Linked DNA regions of Caenorhabditis elegans. The protein of the gene in region 1 purifies or fractionates together with the protein of each later gene. This does not show direct contact. Each region holds a gene or a part of one and is shown on either strand. Other genes may lie near its edges.

Region 1 (7,936 bases):
TAAAATCTGGATCATCGTTAATGCTTTTTTGATTCTGCAATGTTTAAATCATCACAGGTGAATTATTTTGATATTTTGAATAAAACTCAAGATAAACTTTATAAATGAAAACCTCTTCTCCAAATAAATCAAACTCGTTATGATTGTTCTTCTTCGGAAAGTTTTGTCGCCCAAAACTAAGATGTGTAATTGATCGGAAAATGTCTGAAAAGTACAATAAAAGTTATTTTTAACACAATGTAAAAAAAGAAATCTAACCTCCAATTGTATGATGAGATTCAATATGCACAGGATTGATTGTTTTTCCACTCATTTCTCGTTTCGGAGTTGCCAATGATGCAGCATCAAATAGCGCTTGCTTCTCCTCAACAGTTAGAATCTTCCGCGCATTTTCCTCGCTCAATCCAGTCAGCGTTTCATTTTTCGCTACTTGAGGTCCGTTTTTAGCAACAGGGACAATCAAAAATCTGAAAAATAATCATGATTTTAACTGAAACTTAGAAGTTTTCATACCGACTAGCTCTTCTCTCTCCAGCACCTGTCGTTTCCAAACTATCTTCTGTATCATCTGATTTACTTTCTTCTCTTCTTTTTCGTTCGCTTTCTTCATCTTCCAAACGTTGTTTGATTCTACGAGTTGCTTCTGCAAATCGGGCTTTTGTTCCAATTTGAGAATCGACGTATCGTTGCAGCTGACTTCTACTGACCGAACCGACAAGAGCTAGTGATTCTGAAGATGTATTGATGATAATGGGATATAAACATTCTAAGTGACTAACCCATATTTTCAACCAAAGGAAAAGCTCTGATCCGGGTTTTTGTTTCCAGTGCTCTTTTGATGTCACCAACTGTTGAATCTTTTGCAATATAGACAAGAGGAGAAATCATAAACTGCTCAATGAGCATTTGATGATAAAGGGACGTTGTATGGGGAATATCAGGGAGATACGGTAGATTTTTGATACGAATTATGCTGTCGTAGATTGATGGTTGAAGGTACGAAGCCACAGCATTGGCAATAAGAACAGCGATCTGAAATAAAATAATAAAATGATTAAAGTAAAAATTGGGAGAACTCACCATCACGGGTAGAAGATGACATAGCTGTCCAGTAAGCTCAAAAACAATAACAGCAACAGATACTGTATGTGTGACAGCTCCACAAAATGCTGCAGCACCGACAACTGCATAAACACCTGGACGAACGAAGAATTGTATATCTCCACTGATATGACCATATGGATCTAATGAGAATACACCTTCACCAACAAGCCTTCCAAAAGCAGCACCAAGAACAAAAACTGGCATGAAAATACCGGACGGAACAGGCAGAGTAGAAGCCAGAATTGCGAGGAAAAACTGAAAATAAAAACAATTATTTCAATTCAAAATTAGGTCCTCAGAAAACATACGTATACTACTTGAAATGAAGATAAAGTGACAAATGGAGAATAATCATAGTTATCTCCTTTCCAGTGACGAATGTCAAAACTATCCGAACTTGTTGCATTTGATGTAGGCATTGGACAAGCATATGAATCATTTGGTGGAGCAGTCCATGCACAATCTACGAAAAATTCCTTCATTGTGTGACTGAATCTTTCCTGAAATATCTTTGCCAAATAACTATCTAGATGAATAAGTTTGTTACCTCTCCACCCATAAATTTCCCGAGTCCCAATGGAAACGACAAAGAAGATATGAAAGTGGCGATGAAGATGGGATAGATGAGCCAGTATTTCTGAAATATCATTTTGGCAAGCCAATTTCTTCTCAAAAAAAGAACAGTCCGTCGATGAAGATATACAAATATTGAACCAGCAAGACCACAAACCAATCTGTAATATGTAAATTTTGAAAACAAAAAGAACATACTTACTCACCCGATAAGTGCAAAAATAGGAAGCTCTTGTGGGAGAAACACATTTTGTGGCGGAAAGTTTGTTTGATAATGGGCCTCGACGGTAACTGCTGCAGATACAGAGAACATTCTTAGAATTCGGAAAAGAGTAGCCGAACACGTGGCAGCAAAGAAACCACGCCAGTAGTTTCGGACAGCAAAGTAGACAGATGTGACTTCAATTGAGAACAACACGCCTCCTATCGGAGCAGAAAATGTACAAGCAACTCCAACAGCACATCCAGCTGCAAGCATTTCACCACTTCTAGACTCATTTTCAAATATTCCACCAGATGATCCGTGAACCAAACGAGTTAGTTGAGAAGCTACTACGGATGCAACATGAACGAACGGTCCCTGCAAGATTGGAAGTGTGTATAAAAGTAATAGTTTAATATTTTAAAAACAAACTTCTTTTCCCATTGGTAATCCACTTCCAAGTGATAATGTAAGTCCAATCATTTTGGAAAGAAGTGTTCGTACTGAAAGATATTCTTTGAGAATAACTCCTCGTAAAATAGTTTTCATTTCTGGAATTCCTGATCCAATCGCCTGTGGAGCAATATAATGTGCACATACTGCAGAGAGGAGAATGAGTCCAACGACATATCCAACCCAAACGAGATATGCCAAAGTGAAGTGATACTCCTTGACCAAATCGAATAACCGCATCTGACCTGAAAAAAAAACGTTTTTCTATTTTCTGCCAATTTCTGTCAAGAGCAATATATCAGGTCCAATGTTCCTAGTTCTGAGTGGTTTTCCGTTTCTTGACCGATGATTAGTTTTCTTATCAAGAAATGACGTTTGAAAAACTGAGATAACATTTCCAGTCTAGCTGTCCAAAATTCAAAAAATTAAACGAACCATTCTGTAAGTTCAGAATAGCATAATCCATTCCAAATGATAGAGATGCCATGATGAATCCAAGTAGTGCCAGAAAGATCCAATCACGGATCACCGTCCGAAAAAATGTTTTGATACTTTCTGAAATGCAGAGTTCAATTATAAAAATACAAGAATTCAAGATCATTGTCTTACCAAAAGAACACCAACTTGATGATTGTTTTTGTGTAGTCGGGGTGAGCGGTATCGTAAGGCCATCAGATGTTTTGTTCTGAAAAAAGAAAGGAAATTATGAACGTACTTTGAAGATACATAACATTTGACATATGACGTTGACTAATTCGTTCTTTTTTGGTAATTTGATTTCAAAAAATGGTTAAACATACCCCATTTTCATCTAAAATATTGAATCGAAACATAGTGGATTAGCAGTAGAAATCAATAATCAGATGCTATAAGCCCACCTTCTCCATCATCTGATAACAGTTCCCACTCCGGGGGTTTATGTTTGTCTTTTATTTTTTCATTACCTCTCCTCCCATTAACTGGTGTTGCTATTCAAAAAATAACATCAAAATTTGCTACGTACTCACCTTTTCAATTTTTGATAATATTTTTGTACCAATACCCATACTTTTGGAATCCTCGTCAATTGGTAGACCACGAACTGTTTTGTAGACACCGAGATGCTGAAAATGAGAATTTGACTTGAAATTGTATGTTTATAAGAAAATGTCTACAATAGACATGGATAATCAAATAAATTTTAAAAGTCGAAAGTGATTCGAACGAACGATTTGATGATCACAATGATTGATTGAATACCGTTTTTTTGTGATTGAAGAAGCAAGTCAGATGATTCAAAAAATGAGAAACAATTACTGTAGCACTTGATGACGTTTAGACATTTAGCAGACTTTTCATTTTAATCGCTAAATTTAAGGGTGTTAGGAAGGCGCTTAAAGAATAGTGGGAGGAGTCCGATTGAGGTTTGCTCTTGTCTACACACAGAAAAATGAATCGTTCTACAAGTTCGAATTTCTTTAAATCTGAATTCTTTTCGGGAGCACACATATTGTTACGTCACATGAACCGTTCGTTCTCTAGTTGATCCGATTGAAAAATGATTCCGCCTCGTTTAAAAACAACAACAAAACCGATAAACTTCAAGAGAGAGAGGAGGGTTTTTTGCAATATGTAATGAGGGTGCTTAAAGTAATAAAATAGAATAAATACAACTAAAATTGATTTAAGACATCTAATAATAGTTCGTTTGTAGAAGAAAACGTGGAAACATCTATTCCGAAGAAAAAGGTTTGGGGTTACATCTATGATTGATAAGGTCGGCTGGAAACGAACAAATATTTGGAGACCATCAAAAACGGTAAAAGGTTCAAAAATGTAAAGTGTGAAAAGACCAGTTCGCAACACATGCTTTCGTTTCATGACAAGTGACAAGAATTTATTATCACTTTTAGAATTTTGAAAAGCAAACATTGAATAGGTTCGACGGGGTCATCGGTGCTTTTCAGGGACGCTTCGACTGAAAAACGAATGGAAAGCTTTCCAGTGGAACATTTGGTGAATTATTCAAATTATTTGCTCTTGATTTTACCAAAAAACAGACGGCATAGGACATGCTTATTTCTGAATCTGCCTCTCTCCAAAAACCAGTTTGGATAGAGAAAGAATGGCACGAACAACGTCATTTTTGCTCTTTACCGGTAATTCTGAAACCGGCGTAGAGGATTATGAAAATGAACGGTCAGTGCGAAAAGGGCGAAAAGAAACACAGATGTGACGAGAAAACTAGACAAAAAAAACGAAAATTTTCTGATTTTTAAAAACTGAACAGGATGACTAATACTACTAGGGAAGAAGTGGGTATGAATTGTCTGCTTCAAAGAATACTACACGTCACTACTATAGGATCCCCCTCAATTTCAACTATTTCTAAAACCTGTGAAGCTTTATTAAAAAATAAATGTATTCTTGCATTCATGTCAAACATTTTTTGAGTCCTATTAAAAAAGTCAACATCAGATAAGTTTTTTTCGGGTATTCAAATTATTTTCCGTTCCGTTTTGTGATATTTTAAACAATTGAAGTATAGACGAAAAAATAATTTTGCACATTTTTGGACGCTGAAGCTCCACGGTTAGCTCATAGATAAGTAGTGTGCACTGATACAATCACAAACGTTGTTTTTCGGGAAAACAACTGTTTGCAAACGACGAACGTTTACTCGTTGCAACGTTGTTAGGTGCAAAAAAACGCCAAAATGTGATGTAGTTCGAATAAAATTGTTTGTTGAACAAACCGTTTGTGTTACTCATAGTACATAAAATGTCAGCTTCATCCTCTGATTTTTTTTGAGGCTGAGAAAAATCAAGAGCTCAGATACAAGCTCACAATTTGAATACACTGAAAACCGATCAACAAATGCTAGAAAATAATTTTTTGTGAAAATTTGTGAAAATCAACACGTTAATTGTTTGAAATTATTATAAAACGAAACAAATTGTACTTGAAATATAACTTTTTCTTTAAAAAGTTTGTCAGGATTTGAATATCATGAAAATCAAAGGGTTCCTATAGCATTGAAGGAGACTATACGATGAGAAACTTAATGACAAAAATTTTCAAAGTAAATGAGAAAATAGTTCGAAAAAAATGATTACGAAAGTTTACTTCTTTGTTCAGAATGACCTACTCATCGAATAAAAAAATGTTCTTCTTTTTTTTTTGAAAATCATTGATAGTTTGATCAATCTATGTGTACACTCACCGAACCCGGCTGTAGATCGTATTCTTTGCCCGCAGGCATCCGAATCTTTTCCAGTTCTTCATTGTTCTCTATAGTCGCGTCCTTCTCGGATTTTTCTGAAATTATACTGTATATTCGTTGAGTGAGAGTGATTTGAACAAGTTTTTTACTAACCGACATAAATTGAAAATTTCAATTTGTATCGCATCGACGAGATAGATGATGGTTAAAATGTGGGGGGGGGGGGGGGGGGTGAGACTGTGTCTGTGTCGAAATATGACGATTAACGAAATCAAGTTCAAAATAAACTTTGATAAGACATTCACGGGAACTATTCGCTATTTCACATTGTTTTTTCACGCGTATCATAATTTAATTTAAATTACTATTCATTTGAATAGATGGTTGTTATAAACATACCTACGGATTTCGTCAGATTCACAAAATATACTAACCTGGTGGAAGAGGCAACAGGCTTTGCCATTCAATCTTGGAAAGAGGCGTCCGAGAGGGCATAAGCACAGTATTGCTGAAATAACATAGTTATAAAATCTGCGAAAACGATCGAGTTTATGGATAAAAAAGAACACGTTAAAACGAGCAAACGATTTGTGTAGGCGAGCTGAGAAACTGCCAACAAACTGTCAAGTGTCGGCCGGCTTGTGCTTGTTACAAGTACCTACCATCGGTATTTTATCCCACTTAAACAGAGATCAAATGAAAGTTTTTTTGAGAAACACGCAAACGAACACTTCAAAGATTTTTTAAACTAATAAAAAAAAAGCATGAGAAATATTTGTATAATTTCAGAGTTAGTAAGTAAAATGTGGAAACATTTTGCAACGTGGAATTTTACACGGCATGATTTACGGATAACAATGTTAACACTAAAGTTTCGAAATTATTTGTTTATTTCGAGAATACAAAACATAAGCATAAAAACTGTTTTTCAAATGCAATTCACAGTGACTAATCAGAGAAGAACTTAGCTCACAGATTTGAATTTTGCTGACCAGAAGATAAATTGAAAAATAAAAACAAAATGAATGAGAGCCTCATGCAAACCGTTTTTATAAACCGCCGCCAAAAAGATGATGTGATTTGTTTACATGACAACTGTTTGAACGCATGGAATAGGACACTCGGTCACTTCCCAAGAGGAAGGTTCCGTTAAAAAACGGTTAGGAAAACCCCCGGGGCATAGATCAATAAATATGCGAGTCAGATTGCGTCACTTGATTTGATCTCCCAAAAATGTGCTAAACTGTAAAGTGAGACCTAATTTTTTGGTTCCATAGTAACATCTAGGAATACCCCGAGGGCCCTTTTTCCAGGTTTAAACAATTGTACTTCTTGCTATTGGGGTTTCATCAGTAAAATAGAAATTGGACAAAACCAGTTACAATTAACATTGAACTCAAATATTTCCAAACTTCAGCTCATATTCTATTTGAATACATGAGAATGTCCCATTCATTGAAACAAAGCAGTTTTTCGTGCTCATTATTAGAATGTTCATCCTGATATCCAATTTCTTTGAAGAAAATTTACTGAAAAATAATGGGAATTGAAGTTCATATCAAGAACAGAGAGGTCAATTGCATTTTCGAAAAAACACAAACAAATTAATTATTCAAACGGAGAAGTATGGTACGAAAATTATGAAAACCAGCTCATCAAAACCCACCATGAGCTATGACTAATTCTCTTGTGACAGAGTTTCAGAACATTCCCTTCTTGACTTTTTTGTTTTAGTTTTTATCTTTTCAGGCCTTTATCTGAATAACTATCTCGTCTTTTAAAAGTTTTGGAACAATTTTCATCGTTTTATAATTCCCGATTCGAAATAATTTTTTAGTTTCTTGTTCCCTGTAAACTACTCAGCGACACAAACGAAACCTTCAAACAGAACAGACAAAAATCACAAGATACTGCTCGTCCTCTTTATCTGTACTTTTTTCATTTAGAAGTTTTTTGGTTGGCTCCAAGTTATGGATGATTCATACTTTTTGCACAGTTTTGTGACTTTTTTGTTTATCCAGCAGCACACACCGGACACACAGACTACTATTTGTAACTGAAATAGGTTCTTCTTTTTCTTCTAATGTCATCCAACAATGTTTGCTTTTTACTTTGTTCCAATGCTCCCCCGTTCTTTCAAATTGAAACTGTTCTTTTTCCTTCGAAAGTATCACATTTTCCCATAGATTTGAGATAATCGTGTTCCATGTCACAACATTATCAACAAGCCTTCATTTCGGATCATGTTTTCTTCGGGCGGATTGCAAGATAGAGAAATAGAGACGGTTCGTGACAGGAACATAAAGTTGACATCAAAACGATTGACGAAAAAATATTTGAACATCTGTGATGGATTTTACTCAAAATAATGCTGTTCAAATATAGCACAGCTTAAGAGTTTC
Region 2 (4,763 bases), on another chromosome or scaffold:
AAAAATTGTGGGAATTTTAAAGGTAGAGCCGACCGAAATTTGAGACTTTTGCTTTTTTAGACCCAAATTTGGTCCAGATCTCCGAATTTTGTAATGAGACATTCTGAAAATTTCTCAAAAAAAAGTTATGGCGGTTCAAAGTTTGGCAAAATAAAGCCCATATTCAGCTAAAATCAATATTTTTTCCAACTTCTCAGTGTCACAATGCCTGGAACCTAATTCTTATTTAATTATCACTTTTTAATAAATATTGTGGTTTTTGAGTGGGCGTTTATTCGTTGATTTAGGTACATTTATGGTCTTTGGGGTACAAAATTTAACTTTTATTTGTGCCCCACTGACATATGTACTTAAATCAACGAATAAACGCCCACTCAAAAACCACAATATTTATTAAAAAGTGATGAATAAATAAAAATTAGGTTCCAGGTATTGTGGCACTGAGAAGTTGGAAAAAATTTTGATTTTAGCTAAAAATGAGCTTTATTCGGCCGAACCGCCATAACTTTTTTTTTGAGAAATTTTCAGAACGTCTCATTACAAAATTCGGTAGTTTTGGACCAATTTTAATAAAACATTAATAAAACAAAAGTCTCGATACTCACCACCTTAAAGTAAAATTAGGTGAAAATCAACATTTTCACCACTTTTCTCTTGAAAAAAACGAGATTTTTCGGAAAAATTTAAATTTCCCGCCGAAATTTGGGGTTTTCTAGCGATTTTTCCGGGTTTTTCCAAAGACAAATTAAAATTTTGGCTGAAAAATTGAATTTTTCAGATTCAAATTCGTTTTTCTGAAGGTGTCCAGTTGAAAAATGTGGAATTTTTACGCAAAAATTCAATTTTTGATGGATTTTTCGTTATTTTGCTCATTTTTGAGAGGAAAATCACGGCTCACTTCGTGGTGAGACCCGTCGAAAATTTTTTTTCGGGGGAAATTTAAATTTTCTGAGAAAAAACAATTTTTTGGCGGGAAATTCAAATTTTTTGAGAGAAAAAAAAATTTTTTGACGGGAAATTTAAATTTTCTGAGAAAAAAAAATTTTTTTGGCGGGAAATTTAAATTTTCTGAGAAAAAAAAATTTTTGGCGAGAAATTTAAATTTTCTGAGAAAAAAAAAATTTTCGGCGGGAGATTCAAATTTTCTGAGAAAAAAAAATTTTTCGGCGGGAAATTCAAATTTTTTGGCGGGAAATTTTAATTTTTTTAGAAAAAAAAATTTTTTTTGACGGTTAGAAATTGTAATTTTCGCCATTTCGCCACTTTTCCGGAGATTTTCAGTACAAAAAGTGGATTTTTTTTTGCGTTTTTTTACCCGAATTTTTGTCTAAAAATTCGGCTTTTTTTGACATAGAAATTGTAATTTTCAGTCAAAAAAGAAGCAGCATACAGTAAAAACGGTAGCAGTTGCTCCAACTCCAATCGACTCATCCAACTTATAAGCCGACGGTTCTGTTGGCCATCGATCGGCCGGATTAAGCTGTGCAACAAGTGCAGCTGATGCTGCTGCAGCTGCCGCAATCGGTGATGATACTTGAGGTGGTGGTGGTGGTGGTGGTTGGGATGGTTGTGATCCTGCAACAACAAAAAAATTAGGGGTGAAATTCATTTTTTGGGCCTAAAAATTGCGCGATTTTTGAATTTTCTCACCTTTTTTGTAATTTTTTTTTTGGTTTTTTCAAAAAACCATTTTGGTTTTTAAGGTAAAAATTGAAAATTTTTACATGGAACATTCAATGTTGTATGTACTTAAAAATGTAATTTTTAAGCAGAAAATTCGATTTTTTTTCAGCTCAAAAATTAAATTTCGTTGAAAAATTCGACTTTTTACACATTTAAAAAGGTAATTTTTACCGGGAAAAACGTTTTTTTTTTAAACAAAAAAAAATGTATAAAAATCGAATTTTTAAACTAAATTAAAACATTTTTGGAGTAAAAATAAATTTCAAATGAAGAAATAGAGTTTATCTGCCTAAAAAATCATATTTCCTCGACAAAAATTGAAAATTTTAGAGTAAAAATTGAATTTTGTACTCAAAAATGACATTTTTAAACAGATTTCGTTGAAAAATTCGACTTTTCACAGGAAAAACTCTTTTTTTCTTCTTGAAAAATCAATTTTTCCGATTAAAAAAATTTGTTTTTTTTTCACAAAAATCGGAAATGTAGATTTTATAAATTTAATTGATTTTAATTGAAAATATTAGGGTTTTCCAAGTGAAAATTGGTTTTTTTTATGTGAAAAATCAAATTTTTCAGCTAAATTAAATTTTTAGAGTGAAAATCGAATTTTTCCGCCAAAAAATTATATTTCCATGAAGAAATTGTACATTTTAGAGCAAAAAAAAATCGAATTTTTTATTAGAAAAATTAAATTTGATCGTAAAAATTCGTTTTTTTTTCTCAAAAATGTAATTTTTTAAGGAGAAAAATTGATTTTTCACTACAAAACTTCAATTCCGTTGAAAAATTCAATTTCCTACAAAAAAAATTTATTTATACCCAAAAAACCAATTTTTCAAAGCAAAAAATACATTTTGTACCGGAAAATTTCAATTTTATTGTAAAAATTAATTATTTTCCTCACAAAATACCAACTTTAGAAGGAGAAAGATGTAATTTTTACTTTAAAAATTCATTTTTAACTTAAAAAAATTATTTTCGATTTTTTAAATTTAAATAAAAATTAAATTTTACTGGACCTGCAAAAATAATCGGGAAACCCCAATTTTTATTGAAATTTCTACTTTTTCTTCGGAAAAATTATTAGATTTCAAGCTAGAAATTGCCATTTTTCACATTTTTCGACCGCAAAAAAAATCCAAAAAAGCACCATGAAGTGTCGACGTTGATCCGATGCTCGATAATGTATCAGTGTTAAATGTTCCAGTTGTTGTCTGTGTTGTCGAGTATTCTGATGTTATTGTTGAAGCATTTGCAGCTGAATGAGCAGCTGCTGCAGAAGCTGCTGATGATGTAGTTGTAGTATTCGTGTTTCCTGCCAGATTCGAAGAGCTCATTTTTTATATTTTTGATTTATTATATATTAATTTATATTGTTGATGATGATGATGATGTACACAGGACAACACACGTATGAGACTCTGAAATTTTTTAATACAATATTAATAAATTAATTGATATCATTAATCAGTAATATCATTAAGGATATAGTAGATTTGAAAAAAAAAAAAAAAAACGGCTGGAAACTAACTTTTTGTAATCACAGTCTAATTTTGGGTCCGATAGTTCACTGCAACTTTTTCCTCACGAGGGACGAGGAAAAGTGGTTTCTAGGCCATGGCCGAGGGGCCGACAAGTCGGCCATTTATCTTGCTTTGTTTTCCGCCTGTTTTCTTTCGTTTTTCATCGATTTTTTTCGTTTTTTCTTAATAAAACTGATAAATAAATATTTTTGCAGATGCTAAAACAATTTCCAAGTGAAAAAATTATGTATTCAGTGGGCAAGCAGCGGTGAAAGAGGGCAATGTAATATGATGGATTACGGGAATACAAAACCTAAACTTTTTCTGAAACATGATACATATGATGCTTAGATGCTGAAATTACCTGATTTTCATAACGAGACCGCTGAAAAAGTTTTGAGGTTTTCAAAATTCAACTTTTTGTGCGAAAATCTCGACTTTTTCACCAAAAAAGTTGAATTTTGGAAACCTCAAAACTTTTTCAGCAGACTCGTTATGAAAATCAGGTAGTCTCAGCATTTAAGCAGCATATGTATCATGTTTCAGAAAAAGTTTAGGTTTTGTATTCCCGTAATCCATCATTTTACATTGACCACTTTCACCGCTGCTTGCCCACTGAATACATAATTTTTTTACTTGGAAATTGTTTTAGCATCTGCAAAAATATTTATTTATCAGTTTTATTAAGAAAAAACGAAAAAATCGATGAAAAACGAAAGAAAACAGGCGGAAAACAAAGCAAGATAAATGGCCGCTGAAACTTGTCGGCCCCTCGGCCATGGCCTAGAAACCACTTTTCCTCGTCCCTCGTGAGGAAAAAGTTGCAGTGTCAGTTGAAGAGGAAAAAAAAAGGAAGTTTTCACTCAAATATGACTCAAAAATCTGGATTTTTGAGCTTAAAAATTCAATTTCCAAAGAAATTTCCAAGTTATATATACGTAAATGTTTTTTTCGCTAAACAAAATTTTCAGCTCCGTTGAACATTTTGGTTTAAGGCCGAACAATATTTAAAGATTTTTCAGGCTTGAAATCATCCAATTTTTGAGCTAAAAAACGTGTTGCTTTTAGCTCGGGAAATTGAGATTTTATAGCTTAAAAATTATTTTTGAGATTTTAATAATTACACGACGGTGTTTTTCTGGATTTTTGCTCCAAATAGTAAAAATTACGGATATCTTAAGTTTCAATTGAAATTTTTGCGCGCTAAAAGTTCATTTTCAGCCAATTTCTCTCTAGAATTTCATTTCAAAAAAACCTTCAAATTGGGGAAAATCGTATTTTTACAAGAGTCTTTTTAGTCCGAAAACTGGATTTTCTAAATAGTTTATTTACCAAAAAAAATCCAGCTTTTCGCTGTTTTTTTTTTTTGTAAAAATACTTCATTTTGAAGACTTTCGATCGATTTTCTTCATTTTTAGGGGGAATTTCTACCAGTAATTTCCAGCGAAATTTTACATGGAAAAAAGCTCCAAATTTCAAATTTTCAGGAGCAGGAAAAAAATCATAAAAAAATCAAAGATATTTTCAGCCGGTACACATTGGAAACCGCTCTTTTCG

What was found. Proteins that work in one complex are often made in the same cells at the same time.
Region 2: the proteins of clh-3 (region 1) and gck-3 purify together in Caenorhabditis elegans (affinity purification with western blotting, with the first as the bait; one study listed by BioGRID). This does not show direct contact.

What each region holds. Positions count from the first base shown.
Region 1 is NC_003280.10:7,219,620-7,227,555, forward strand, and holds the start of clh-3 (Chloride channel protein), read right to left. Parts: upstream 6,030-7,936; coding exon 5,969-6,029; intron 5,722-5,968; coding exon of another isoform or gene 5,688-5,721; intron 5,630-5,687; coding exon 5,535-5,629; intron 3,436-5,534; coding exon 3,340-3,435; intron 3,018-3,339; coding exon 2,942-3,017; intron 2,888-2,941; coding exon 2,768-2,887; intron 2,578-2,767; coding exon 2,312-2,577; intron 2,258-2,311; coding exon 1,884-2,257; intron 1,839-1,883; coding exon 1,652-1,838; intron 1,614-1,651; coding exon 1,413-1,613; intron 1,360-1,412; coding exon 1,081-1,359; intron 1,033-1,080; coding exon 780-1,032; intron 731-779; coding exon 514-730; exon of another isoform or gene 507-513; intron 468-506; coding exon 259-467; intron 205-258; coding exon 113-204; intron 35-112; coding exon 1-34.
Region 2 is NC_003283.11:17,963,744-17,968,506, forward strand, and holds the start of gck-3 (Germinal center kinase 3), read right to left. Parts: upstream 3,021-4,763; coding exon 2,834-3,020; intron 1,576-2,833; coding exon 1,391-1,575; intron 1-1,390. UniProt on the Caenorhabditis elegans protein: Plays a role in osmotic stress responses by regulating ion homeostasis and by controlling cell volume via the phosphorylation-mediated inhibition of the chloride channel clh-3.